Oryctolagus cuniculus: one gene and its partner. The protein of the gene in region 2 interacts with the protein of the main gene of each other region in a pairwise test. Links are inferred from orthologs where the notes say so. Each region holds a gene or a part of one and is shown on either strand. Other genes may lie near its edges.

The links. The genes of interacting proteins can lie anywhere in the genome.
Region 1: the proteins of MAP1A (region 2) and RHOB interact in a two-hybrid assay, tested with the Homo sapiens proteins (2 studies listed by BioGRID and IntAct). The link is inferred for Oryctolagus cuniculus from reciprocal best matches to the Homo sapiens genes MAP1A and RHOB.

What each region holds. Positions count from the first base shown.
Region 1 is NC_091433.1:182,131,850-182,137,898, forward strand, and holds RHOB (rho-related GTP-binding protein RhoB), read right to left. Parts: upstream 4,735-6,049; 5' UTR 4,367-4,734; coding exon 3,776-4,366; 3' UTR 2,364-3,775; downstream 1-2,363. UniProt on the Homo sapiens protein: Mediates apoptosis in neoplastically transformed cells after DNA damage. Not essential for development but affects cell adhesion and growth factor signaling in transformed cells. Plays a negative role in tumorigenesis as deletion causes tumor formation.
Region 2 is NC_091443.1:66,493,805-66,501,883, forward strand, and holds the start of MAP1A (microtubule-associated protein 1A), read left to right. Parts: upstream 1-3,579; coding exon 3,580-7,774; coding exon of another isoform or gene 7,775-7,921; coding exon 7,922-8,079. UniProt on the Homo sapiens protein: Structural protein involved in the filamentous cross-bridging between microtubules and other skeletal elements.

The sequences.
Region 1 (6,049 bases), on a different chromosome or scaffold from region 2:
CTGGCCTGCTCCTGGGGAACGCATTCCTGCAACTGCCTGGCCCACCAGTGAAGTGGCTCACGAGGGCAAGGACTGCTTCTCGCTGCTTTTTTTCTTCTTTCCTCATCAGAGCTGATGAAGCACGGGCCAAGGCCAGCTGAATTACAGGGTGCTGCTGCATTCTGAATTCACAAATGGCGAAGAGAAATTTCTAGAAGGGAATCAAGTGCCTTTTGGCAGAAGCATGCAGGGTGAGAAGACAGAGTCTGTGTGGTGTAGCCTGGAAGGAAAGCTCTGGGAAAGTCTGTATCCCCTGAGGGTTGAGGAAGCCAGAGCTGCTGGCTGCAACGCTGTCGCTGTCGGGAGAGCCGCGTTGACATAGACACCCTCTCCCTCCTGTGTGCACCGACGGGGACTCTCCCTCTGTCCGAGTCGCTGCTTCTCACAGTGCGGGCCCCCAAGCCAGCAGCATCAGCGTCATGCAGGGCCCTGCTAGAAATTCAAATTCCCGAACCCTCAGCCTGGACCTACTGCATCAGAAACTCCGCCAAGGCCAGGCCCAGCAATCCGCGCTGTGACCAGCCCTAGCAGGATTCTGGTCACACTTACGTATAAAGCATCCTTTCTCAGTCTACCGAAACACATGGGAAAAAGACCTCAGAAATGCAATCCAGACTGATTTGAGATCGAGATTAAAGGAAAACCCGAGACAACGCCCCTTGCTATAAAACACCCAGGATCAATGAAACTTCCCACTATTTTCCATGAATCGTTTCAACAGGCAATTAAATGAACTCAGCACATTTCTTTTAAATGTGCAAAATGAATTTTCATATTCTAAGAGTCACACCAGATGTTTTACCTTTTTTTCCCCCCCTAATTGATTTTCCAGCCTAGAGCAACTTGGTTTTTTTGTTTTCCACTTGGGCCCTAACACAGCAAGAAGAGTATGTTCCGCAGGGTTTTTAAATGGCACGCAGTTAAAACAGGCCCCACCAGGCTGCTCTACTTCTTCCGGGTGGTTGTCTCCCCAAAATATAAAAGCAGAACTCTTTAGGTAGCAGGCAGATGGGACAGGCGGGAAACCCAGAAAGGCCCTCTGGGGGTGGGGGTGGGGGGGCAAGTCTCCAGGCTCTTGGCTGCTTGCAGAGCCGAGTGCTGGGCACTCAGCCCAGGCCTGAGCACTCCCCTACCCATCCCTGCACTCCCTGGTACCAAAGGATTTGCTGGCTGTAAAAACTTGCAAATAAACATTGTCTTTCAATGGGAAGTTTTGTTTTAAAGTAGGTTATGGGATGGAGGTGAGTGGAGCCATGGGCCGAGGAAGGAGTGGCTCCTGGAGGAGTCCAAACAATCCCCCTCTGTTGGCCCTGCACCCACCCAGTGGAGCAGGCCTGTTTCAGCCTGTGTTAAGTGGGTGAAAGGTCACCACCAACAACCAGGTTTTCTTCACTCAACAAAAGCTCTTGGAAATCGCAGGGGAGAGGGGAAACGAGCCTCAGCCTTGAAGCAAACAACTTCAAGAGGGACCTCCACTGCCTTGGCCCTGGGTGTGGGAGAGGAGAGGGTGGCAACAGAGCGCGGAGACGTGGAAAATGCCGATTCAGACAGAGCCACGCTTGGGAGGCAGGTGGGGGAGGCTGGCACCACCTTCCTCTGCGCCGGCAGGTTTGAGTCCTCCCGCCTGCAGCGGGATTTTCGTGTGGTCTCCAAGAACAAATCGGCCTGTCTGGTTCGGAGAACCACTGCAGCAAGGCTCAGGGTCTGAAATTAGAGCTCATCCTAATTGGTTCCCAAAGCGGAGCTGCTCCAACTTGAAATAACTCCCACCGCCCACCACCACCACCACATCCAGCCCTCTGTCTGCAACCGGCCCTTCTCAGAGAAGGGCAGGCTCTCATTGTGGCACCTTCCCAGGGAAGTTCCATCGGAAGAGAACCCTCCCCAGGAGAGCCCCTGGAGCTCCAGCCCCAGGCAGAGCAACCTGCCACTGTACAGGGTGGTGTGCAGACCTGGAGGATGGGAAGGAGCCCAGGCAACCAGCCCCAGAAATGTTACCTAAACTGAAAACACGCAAGTGACAGCTTCTCAAGTCTAAAAGAAGCCAAGTCCACAATAGTCACAGTGGTTTTAAGACAGAGACAAAACCAAGACCTTTGGCCTCGCCTAATCAGGCTGAAGTTTTTGCTCTGGGCCATGAGTGAGCGGCTTGTCTTCCTCTGGGGTTGTGACAGCCAACAACCTGGTCTCCCTTGATGACCCAACCCGCAGAGCCCCCCAGACCTTCGCCCTCCGCTATGACAGTCACTGCCCAGAAAGGGTCTCTCCCCTTGTCCCACGTGCACAAGGATACCTTACTACAGAGCATTAAACCACAAGAGCCATTTTATAAATGTCATCATCATAGTCTTTTAATATTTTACATAAAAAACTGTATACACAGCTTATAGAACTTTTATGTAAACATCATAAGCTCACCACTTTGTCATTTGTCAGTTTATTGGAAAAATAAAAAAACAAGACAACAGTTTAGTAGAAGTACCACTGGGCAGGAAGAGGGAGGGGAGAAACGGGCAGGTTTATTCTCTGTACAGAGAAGCAGAGAAAACTTCACATAGCTGCAGAGGCTGCCTTGCAGGGAAAACAAAAAAGTTCTCAATAGGCCCCAACACGGGTTACTGTCCCTTATCAAAACAGTGTGCATGACCTGCACAAATAAAATCTCAAAACAGTGGTGCCACTTTTCTCGAGAAAACCAAGGAAAAATTAGTAAATTCTTTTTCTTTTCCTTGTTTTCAAAATCATCATTCAAAAAAAATAAATCCAAAGTAGATGAGGTTACAGCATACAGAATGCTACTGCCTTATGCAAATGACAAGTGCATTAAGTGTCAAACAATGAAACAACTGTGCAAAGAATTCTTTCCAAAAAAAAAAAAAGTTTCAGCTTTTAAATAAATCAAAAAAACATCCGTTTCTTGGACTGAACAGTTTTCACTTGTCAGGCACAGAGTTCGCTTATGGCAACAACAAGGCCCCCAGCACACGCCCCGCCCCTCCTCCTGCTGGAGAGAGGTTCGCTGGGGGCTGGCAGCACCTGCTGCTTCTAAAAGCTGTGTCCCTTCAGCCCCAAGTCAGTTGCAAATGTCTTCCCCAGGGCTCAGAAAGATGGCCAAGTCCTGGTCATGCTTGGATGGGCGCCTGACCCAGCCCGGGGCCAGAGCTGTTCTAACGCCCTGGTCACTCCACCCACCACGACCATTAAATAACACCATCTTACCTCCGAAAATAAAATTATATCTGTATTTATAGAACACCCCCCTCCTCCTCCCCAGCCCTCCCTCCCGCAATTCCCGGGGTCTATGTTACAAACAAGGGATAGCAGGCGCTCGCGGGTTACGGGCTAACATCCGATGGGGCGCGGCCCCGGCCCCCACCCCCACCCCGGGGGGACCCGAGGCGGGGGTGGTGTGACAATGTGAGCGAGGGGGCAGTAGAACGTACACGCAGTCACACGCTCTGAGGCTCTGATCCTCAGAACAGGATGTCCAGGGGACCCTTGGCACTCAGCGGGGGCGCCCGGGCCTGTGCCACACAGCTGGACGCACGCAGACACTGGGAAGGGGGCGCCCGGTGCCCACGCGCTTCTCGGCGCGAGAGCCAGAGCCGCCCGCAGACGCCAGGCAGTCTGGTGGGGTCCTTGCAGGGGCGTGGGCCTCCCCTCCCCACGGCTGGCTGGGGGACCGGCCCGGGAGGGGGCGCCGCGCAGGCGGGGGCAGACGGGCGGGCGCGGCCTCTCATAGCACCTTGCAGCAGTTGATGCAGCCGTTCTGCGAGCCGTAGCGCTTCTGGAGCGCGGCGCGCGTGGCCGTCTCGAAGACCTCGCGCACGCCCTCCTTGGTCTTGGCGGAGCACTCGAGGTAGTCGTAGGCTTGGATGCGCACGGCCATGGCGCGGCCGTCGTCCGTGCGCACGGGCTCCTGCTTCATGCGCGCCAGCTCTGTGCGGACGTGCTCGTCGCTGCGCAGGTCCTTCTTGTTGGCCACCAGGATGATGGGCACGTTGGGGCAAAAGTGTTTCACCTCCGGCACCCACTTCTCGGGGATGTTCTCCAGCGAGTCCGGGCTGTCCACCGAGAAGCACATGAGGATGACGTCGGTGTCCGGGTAGGAGAGCGGCCGCAGGCGGTCGTAGTCCTCCTGGCCCGCTGTGTCCCACAGCGCCAGCTCCACCTGCTTGCCGTCCACCTCGATGTCGGCCACATAGTTCTCGAAGACGGTGGGCACGTACACCTCGGGGAACTCGTCCTTGCTGAACACGATCAGCAGGCACGTCTTGCCGCACGCGCCGTCGCCCACCACCACCAGCTTCTTGCGGATGGCCGCCATGAGCCGGCCGGGCCCGGGCAGCAGGAGGGGGCCCGCGAGCGCCTCGCTGCCGTCCCGCTCGCTTCGCTCACTGCTCACCTCCGGCGGCGCGCTGGGGGGCGAGGGTCGCTAGCTGCACCCAGGCCCCGCGGTGGCGCGTTCTCTCCGGGCGCTCAGGCTGCCGCGGCGGGGGCGCGGGTGCATAGGGCGCGCCGCGCTGCTCGCGGACTGCGGCCGCGGCTCACGCCCCGGGCCGGGGTCGGCGGCTTTGTGCGCCACAAGGGCTCGGGCTGCGGTCGGTCCCGCTCCCCCTCCCGGGTCCCGGGCCGCGCGTACCAGGGCGCCGACGACTCCAGCCAGACTGCGGTGGCAGATGCGGGCTGCGGCCCTAGCGCCTGCTATTTAAAGAGTCCGGCCACTTTCTTAATATAGCCGCCCAATAGGAAGCGAGCCGGCTGAGCTCATCGCTGCGGAGCTTGGCTCTGATTGGCCGCCTGCTGCAGCCCGAAGGCGGGGCCGCACGGGCTTGATTGACGGCCCTGGCCGCGGGGCTGGGAGAGGCGGCGACCGTGGAGTCTGCGCGGCCGCCGGCGCTGCGGGGCCGCGGCGGCCCCGGCTCCCCGCCTTCGTCGTGGCCCGAGGGCTGGCTGCCTAGAGCCCGCGGGGTCTGGGCCCGCGGGTTCCGAGACGGGGCGGCACTTTGGAGTGGGGGGTCGGCGCCTCCTTTTAGAGCAGAATCGCGGGGCTTTCTGGCCAACCCCCCGCGGGTGGTCGGACCTGGGGCGGGGGAGGGGCGGCTCCCGTAACGTGGTTTTGTTTGTAAGTAAACAACCACACACACACGCACACGCACGGCCACACACGCACTTTTGTTTCCAAACTGAAAGGTTTCTTCTTCGCCCTTTTGGAGCCGGCCGCTCTGTGCTCGGGCCTCCCGGGGCGCCCTTGCCCTGGGATTGAGCCCCTGGCGTGAGGCGCCCACTGCAACCTGGGTGGGCCTGGGCCGAGCCTCCCGGCCCTTGCAAGCCCCTGCCCTCCTCTTTCAGGACCCCCCAGCTCGGGTCGCCGGGCGAAGGTGAGGGAAAGGAGACCGAGTGGGCGAGCGCTGGTTCGATGAATGGGAAGGGGCAGGCCGGGGTATTTGGCCGAAACTCTGCGTGGTTCTTTCGGATCCGTTTGTTAAGGCAGAGCCGTGTCCGAACGAAGAGTGCAATAGAATCTGGCCCCCTAAACCCCACTGAGCCGGCGAACGGTGGGGCAGGGGCCCAGGGCTCGCAGGTGCGAGTGAGCGCGCGCTGGGGGTCCATCGCCCCAAACCAGCAGGGCTGCAGGCAGCTGCCCCGGGGACCCTGCGGGACGTGGCCCTCACCTCTGGTCTGGAAACCCGAAGGGAGACCTGCCCATCACGGCGAGCTCACTGCCCCATTGTCTGTCTGCCTCTGGATTGTGGTTTGGTGGGGGCGCCAGCGTCCTCCGGACCCAGCCAGCAGGTGACTGGAGGATCGACCCGCTTGTTCAGGAGCTCAGTGGGGATTTTCTGGGGGGCTCTTACCTCAGCTCCAGATCCACTCTAACAGTCACCCAGGCGAACCCACGCAGGCAGCTGAGAGGGAGCCTGTGGTTTCAGTGCCACTCACAGGTCAACCTAGTGGCTGTTACCCTCTAGGGCCCATCCTGGCCCGCATCGGTTGAACCATCAGAAGG
Region 2 (8,079 bases):
GCCTGCCTGGGGAGGTGGGATGAGGGTAATGGGGGGGGGGAGCTGATGCCTCTTCTGGGGCCTCTGGAAGCAGTCCAGTGGCGTGGGCAGGCTTGGAGGGAGCAGGAGGGAAGAGGGACCGTGCTGGCGGAGGGGCCAGCCGGGATTTGGATCCAGGTGGAGGCCAGCGGGGGCTGTGACAGTTCACTTCCCAGCTGGCTGGGGGTGGGAGACTGCAGCCCAGGGCGGCTGCAGAGGGTGGTGCTGCAGGCTCTGCCTGGTGGCCCCGGGCGCCAGAGGAGTTTGGAGGCGATGTCTTTGGCCAGAGGCTGGAGAATCCGAGAGAAAGGGAGATGTTAAGGGAACGCGCCTGGCGGGAGGGTCCTTGGGTGTGGGTTTCAGACTGCTCAGCTGCTCCTAGGCTGGGGGGTGAGCCGGCTGCCGCCAGTTTTTGCCAAGTAAGGGAAGCTAGGGGACACTGTGGAAAAGGGTCGTTCAGACGTGGCATGTGCGTCCTCACAGACCAGCCTGTTCTCAGTGGGTTTCCCCAACCAGTTTTCTGCAGGCAGCTTGAGCCTGGGGCTCTAAGCCCCCCTTCCTGGCCCCCTGAGGTCCCTCCGGAGATTGGGAACGCTCCCAGCCAGCAGCTGCCCCGCATTCCCTGCGCTGTCAACCCCACAGGTTCCCAGCCTCAACCCCACCCCCACCTCCTCTCCATTCTTTTCGCAAGATGGGGGCTCTAGAACAGAGAAGCCAGTTTCTTCTCCTTCTCGGCAAAACCCCCTACCCCCACCGCCACCCCCCTCACAGAGGCAGCCAAGAAAATGACTTGTCATGCTGGGGTGGGGGTGGGGGCGGAGCCGGCGCCGAGCTCAGCGCGCACACTCACACACACTCACACACTGCGGCAAACTGCAGCTGCCGGCCCCCCCAACCCCCACCGCCTCACTGCGGAGACACCTGCCCTCCCTGGGCCTGCCCAGCCCCGCGCCCCTGCCCCTTTCCCTGGAAAATGGAAAACTCAGGCAGTTCCCTTTACTGGGCAGGCTAGGGGAGCCGGAGAGAGAAACAGGGCTTTCTCCCAGGCCTGCAAAAGATATAAACCATGTAGCTGCAAGTCAGAACCACTCCCTAGCACAGGGCTGGGGATGGGGTCTGATGTTGGGATGTGAGCTGGGCTCAGAGAAGTCTGAAGTCTGTGATTATAAAGCCGGGCTGGGGGGAGAAGCGGGTGTCAGGAACCAAGTCGGTGTGTACTGTAGATATTCCTTGGAACTTTCCTAGCTCAAATGTGTGACCTTGTTTGTGAAGGGGGAGCTTCTGCCCTTCTAAATCTGAACCATTTTGTGCTGGCGGCTGCCAGGACCTTGGTGTCCCTTACCTGCCCAAGCCCCGCCCCTGCATGCCTCTGAGGAGTTCTCGTCCTCTGCACTGACCCCGGAGGTTCCCTCCGTTTCCTAGTTATTAGATGAGAGCGAACCCCTAAGCTCCTCTGAGGCCCAGCTCACCCCGGTACAGAGTTGGGCGTCTGACACCGGCCACAGTTCATTTCCCCCGCAGCTGCGTCTGCAGCCCTGTGCTGCCAGTTCTGCCTGATGCTGGCACGGTGGCTCTTCCCCCCCGTGTAACAGCCCCCGGAGAGAAGAGAGAGCAGAGAGCGGGGTCACAGAAAGACGGTCTAGGGCACAGATGATGAGCCCTCCCACCAGGATCCTCCAGAGAGCCCCCTCCCTGGGCCACCTATGGGACTGCTGTTGTGCAGGTGGTGGCTGGGGGAGGGGGAGGAAGGGCAGGAGCAGGGGCTGGCCGCATCCTTCTTCCCACTCTTCTGTCTGACCTGCTTTTGTGCTAAGTTGCTTGGTGTTTCATGTGGGTCTGGAGAAGGAAGCAGAGAGGGGATTTAGGGAGTCTTTTTGCACAGATTGGGGGAAACTCTGAACCTCTCCTTCCTTATTTACCTGTTTCTTGTTGTGAACACCTCACTCTCCATCTCCACGGTAGAAGGTACATAGGTGAGAAGAGAAACTGTTAGTCCGGGAGGGATTGTAGGGTAGTAAGCCTGGGGACGTGGGGGAGCGGTGGGACAGGGAGCTGGGAACAGAGTGACTGCGCGCGTGTGAGTGCAGACTGGGCCTCGGAGGAACCAGAGACCACAGCAGGAAGTTACAGTGCTGTGTCCACTCTTTGGACTGCTAACCCCCAAGGACTTAGATAACACAGGCGTCTCTGAATCCTCTGGAACAGGAGTTCTGGCCTTGAGCGGGGGATTGGCGAGGAGGATGTGTAGTCTGCAGACGCCGAGGTTCCCAGCTCCTGGTTTTCAGATGTTCTTGCAGCCAGGAAGCCCAGGGCAGAGGCCGGGCAGGAGGGAGCTGAGCGAGGCACATCTCCCAGGAGCCCTCTCTCCAGCTGAGCTGCCCATCCCCAGGCAGCACCAGGAACTCAGGGCTCTGGAGGGACAAAGGCTTCTTGTCAACAGGGCAGTCTGAGGGGGGCGTTCCAGGCGAAGGGATGGGGGCATGGGCAGCAGAGGCTGCGGCCAATGAAAGGGGAGAGACGACAGCCAGTGTGGGACCGGGGAACCCAGAAAGGGAAGGGCTGGAGGGCCCGGCGCCCGCACCTCACTCAGCAGTGTCCCAGGCAGCAGGATCTGAGGGTGGCCAGGGCCTTCCTTCCCCTCAGCCCCATTTTCTTTCCTGCCCCACACAACAGATGCCTCTGCCTTTTAGTCTCCGGCTGCTCTCTTCACATTTCTTCCTCTCTCTCCCTCAGGCCAGAGGACCCTCTGCCACCAGAGTGAGATCCTAGAGACTGTGATCCTGGTGAACCCCAGCGCAGACAGCATCAGCTCTGAGGTGAGCCCAGGGCCTGTGCCTTGCCAAGGGGCCACCACCGGGGCTGTGAGCCGCCCTTGCCTGTGCTCACTTCAAGGCCAAGAGTTCCTCCCTCTGCCATCTGAGCTGACTTCCGACGCCTGGCTTCCATGGAGGTGTTACAGGGGACACTGCTGGCAAACATGTCCAGGCAGGACTGAGCACGGGACCAGGCAAATTCAATGTGTTTTCCTGGGTTCCGCACATCTGTGACCATTCGTGTCCCTCCTTCCACCCAGGTTCGCCATTTTCTCAGCAGCCCATCGGCTCACAAGCTACTGATCTTGAGTGGGCAAAGCTTAGAGCCTGGGGGAGACCTCATCCTGCAGAGCGGCACCTACTCCTACCAAGACTTCGCCCAGGTCCTACATAACCCGGAGGTAAGCTCCACACCCAAGTGTCTATGGGGAAGCGGCTGTGGGGCAGGCCCCGAGCTGTGGGGAGGGACCCAAGGAAGGGTGGGTCTCATTCTGCTTGATCGTCAGGGGCCCCTGGAGAAAGGTGAAGATCAGGGACCGAGTCGGAGTCAGGCTGACAACCCAGTGACCTGATCAGGCTTCTGTCTCCATTCCTCCAGATTGCTCAGTTGCTCAGCAATAGAGACCCTGGGATCCAGGCCTGCCTCACCGTGTCCTGCTTAGGGGAGGGTGATTGGAGCCATCTGGGACTATCCAGTTCCCAAGAGACCCTGCACCTCCGGCTCAACCCTGAGCCCAGGCTGCCCGCCATGGACGGCGTGGCTGAGTTCTCTGAGTACGTCTCTGAGACCGTGGACGTGCCGTCCCCTTTCGACCTGCTAGAGCCCCCCACCTCAGGGGGCTTCCTCAAGCTCTCCAAGCCTTGCTGCTACATCTTCCCTGGTGGCCGCGGGGACTCAGCCCTCTTCGCTGTCAATGGGTTCAACATCCTGGTGGACGGGGGCTCCGATCGCAAGTCCTGCTTCTGGAAGCTGGTGCGGCACCTGGACCGAATCGACTCGGTGCTACTCACCCACATCGGGGCAGACAACCTGCCGGGCATCAATGGCCTCCTGCAGCGCAAAGTGGCAGAGCTGGAGGAGGAGCAGTCGCAGGGCTCGAGCAGCTACAGCGACTGGGTGAAGAACCTCATCTCGCCCGAGCTCGGCGTCGTCTTCTTCAACGTGCCCGATAAGCTGCGGCTGCCGGATGCCTCCCGCAAGGCCAAGCGCAGCATCGAGGAGGCCTGCCTCACACTGCAGCACCTACACCGCCTGGGCATCCAGGCCGAGCCTCTGTACCGTGTGGTCAGCAACACCATCGAGCCTCTGACCCTCTTCCACAAAATGGGCGTGGGCCGGCTGGACATGTATGTCCTCAACCCCGTTAAGGACAGCAAGGAGATGCAGTTCCTCATGCAAAAGTGGGCAGGCAACAGCAAAGCCAAGACGGGCATCGTGCTGGCCAACGGGAAGGAGGCTGAGATCTCGGTGCCCTACCTGACCTCCATCACGGCTCTGGTGGTCTGGCTACCAGCCAACCCCACCGAGAAGATCGTGCGAGTGCTTTTTCCAGGCAACGCTCCCCAGAACAAGATCCTGGAGGGCCTGGAAAAGCTCCGGCATCTGGACTTCCTGCGCTACCCTGTGGCCACCCAGAAGGACCTGGCCTCTGGGGCTGTGCCTGCCAACCTGAAACCCAGCAAAATCAAACAGCGGGCAGACAGCAAGGAGAGCCTCAAAGCCGCCACCAAAACAGCCGTGAGCAAGCTGGCCAAGCGGGAGGAGGTGGTAGAAGAGGGAGCCAAGGAGGCCCGCTCGGAGATGGCCAAAGAGGTAGCCAAGACTGAGAAGAAGGCCAAAGAGCCCACCGAGAAGCCCCCAGAGAAGCCTGCCAAGCCTGAGAGGGTGAAGACGGAGTCCAGCGAGGCTCTGAAGGCGGAGAAGCGGAAGCTGATCAAGGACAAGGTCGGGAAGAAGCACCTCAAAGAGAAGATTTCGAAGCTGGACGAGAAAAAGGACAAGGAGAAAAAAGAGATCAAGAAGGAGAGGAAGGAGCTCAAGAAGGATGAAGGAAGGAAGGAGGAGAAGAGGAAAGACACCAAACCCGAGGCCAAGAAGATTTCCAAGCCAGACCTGAAGCCCTTCACCCCCGAGGTACGGAAGACCCTCTTCAAAGCCAAGGCCCCTGCAAGAGTGAAGCTGGACAAGAGCCGGGCTGCCCGTGGGGAGAAGGAGCCGCCTTCTGAGCCCCGGACGCCCCCGGCCCAGAAGGCGGCTGCGCCACTCCCATCAGTCGCCGGGCACCGGGAGCTGGCCTTGTCCTCACCAGAGGACCTCACCCAGGACTTTGAGGACCTGAAAAGGGAGGAGAGGGCTTTGCTGGCCGAACAGAGGGACACAGGACTAGGAGAGAAACCACTGCCTATAGATTCTACACAGGAGGGACCCCCCAGCCTGGCTCCCCAGGGAACACAGCCCTCTGTCCCTGGGTGGGAACCAGAAGAGCGTGCGATAGAAAAGGAAGCTGCCCCAGAAATCCCTGGGGAACAAGGCAGCAAGGACCAAGGCCCGGACTCTGGGGCAGAGACAGAGGAAGAGAAAGAAACCTGTGAGGAGAAGCAGCAGCAGGAAGCAGAGAGACTCCCAGACAGACCAGAAGCCAGAGAGGAGAGTGAGCCCGAGCTGAAGGAGGACGTGATCGAGAAAGCCGAGGTAGAAGAAATGGAGGAGGCACGGCCGTCAGACGAGGAGGAGGAGGAGGAGACGAAGGCTGAGGGTCTGTACCAAAAGCATATGCAGGAAGCCTTCAAGGTGACTGCCAGGGACAGAGAGGCTCTCGAGGGCCGGGAACTGGGGCCCCAGGCTAAGGTCCCCGAGAAGGAGACCGCATCATTCCTAAGCAGCCTGGCCACCCCTGCGGGAGCCACTGAACATGTCTCCTACATCCAGGATGAGACGATCCCTGGCTACTCGGAGACGGAGCAGACCATCTCCGATGAGGAGATCCACGACGAGCCCGAGGAGCGCCCGGCTCCACCCAGATTCCCTCCAAGTACCTTTGACCTCCCTGGGCCTGAAGGTGCTGGCCCCTTTGAAGCCGGCCAGCCTGCAGACAGTGCTGTTCCTGTCACCTCCAGCAAAGGCTATGGGGCGCCGGAGACTGAACTCCCCTACCCCACCAACCTGGTGGCCGCGCCACTGGCTGAAGAGGAACACGTGTCCTCGGCCACCTCAATCACGGAGTGTGACAAGCTCTCTTCCTTTGCCACGTCAGTGGCTGAGGACCAGTCTGTGGCCTCGCTCACAGCTCCTCAGACGGAGGAGACAGGCAAAAGCTCCCTGCTGCTCGACACGGTCACGAGTATCCCCTCCTCCCGCACCGAGGCCACCCAGGGCTTAGACTACGTGCCGTCGGCTGGCACCATCTCACCCACCTCCTCGCTGGAGGAAGACAAAGGCTTCAAATCACCACCCTGTGAGGAATTCTCTGTGGCTGGGGAGTCGGAGAAGAGAGGAGAGGGGGTGGGGAGAGCATTGCCTGGGGAGAGAGCTGTGGGAGAGGAAGAAGAGGAGCCAGCAAACGCAGAGGTGTCTGAGAAACTTCACCAGCAGTATGGCTCCCCGATGTTTGGGGCCCCTGGGCATGCCCTACATCCAGGGGAACCAGCCCAGGGAGAGGTGGAGGAGCGGTGCCTCAGTCCGGATGACAGCACAGTGAAGATGGCCTCTCCGCCACCATCCGGCCCACCCAGTGCTACCCACACACCCTTTCATCAGTCCCCCGTGGAAGAAAAGTCGGAGCCCCAAGACTTTCAGGAAGAAGACTCCTGGGGAGGCACAAAACACACACCCGGTATGGACACGGAAGATGCTGCAAAGGAGACAGTCAGGCCAGGGCCTGAAGAGGGCACCCTAGAGAAGCAGGGGGAGAGGCCTGTTCCCAGGAGCCCCCAGGCCCAGATGGCACCTGTCGATATTCCAGGGGGACATGCAGGCCGCACCAGTCCATTGTTGCCAGTACAGGATGGAGCAATAGTCTTCGAGACCACAGAGGCAGGAGAGCCCACAGGCCCAGTTCTAGCAACAGAAACCCTTCCCAGAGATTTGAAGCCGTCGCTTCAAGAACCTGGTGAACCTCAGAAGGAGGAGGTACCCCAATTTCCTGGCCAGAGCCTCTCTCCTGAAGATGCAGAGTCCCTCTCTGTCCTCAGTGTGGTCTCCCCAGACACTGCCAACCAAGAGCCCACTCCCAGGTCTCCCTCTGGCCTACACAGAGACTTTTGGCCAGCGGCTTCTCCACAAGACACCCAGTCACTTTCTCTTTCCGAGGAGAGTCCCAGCAAGGAGACCTCTCTGGATATCTCTTCTAAGCAGCTCTCCCCAGAAAGCCTCGGAACCCTCCAGTTTGGGGAACTAAGTCTTGGAAAGGAGGAAAGGGGGCCTCTGATGCAGGCTGAAGACACTGCTCACCACCCGGCTCCTGTTTCTCTCCCAGAGCCTCATGCAGCCACATTGTCACCTCCCAGAGATGAGACCACTGGCTACTCCACACAGGGAGACATCATGTATGAGAGCCCTGATAGAAGATCACCTGCCAGCTCCTTCTCTCATCCTACACTGTCAGGTGAGGAGAAGCACTCACCTGGCGTGGTCACAAGCCCTGGCGAACATATTATGACACCTGATAGCTCCATCACCAAGAGTCCAGAGTCTCTGCCAAGCCCTGCCATGGAGGACATTGTCATGGAGTGGGAAGGGAAAGTTCCACGGTTGAAAGATGGAACCCCCGAGGAGAAGGACAGGGAACCCGAACAAAAGGATGAAGTTGTACAGCAGAAGGACAAAACCCTGCAACAGAAGGATACTGCTGTAGAGCAGGGCACAGCCATCTGTCAGAAAGATGAGGCTCTGAGAGCAGGGGACGAGGCTGTGGAGCAGCAGGGTAAGGCTTTAGAACAAAAAGGCAAAGACATAGACCAGAAGGATGTGTCCCCAGAACAGAAGAGCAAGGCCCCAGAAGTGAAAGATAAAGACTCGGAACAAAAAGACAAGATCTTGGAAATGAAAGACAAAGATGCGGAACCAAAAGACAAGGCCCAGGAAGTGAAAGACAAAGACTCGGAACAAAAAGACAAGATCCCGGAAGTGAAAGACAAAGACTCGGAACCAAAAGACAAGATCCTGGAAGTGAAAGACAAAGACTTGGAACAAAAAGACAAGACCCCAGAAGTGAAAGACAAGATCCCAGAAGACAAAGATGATGCCTTA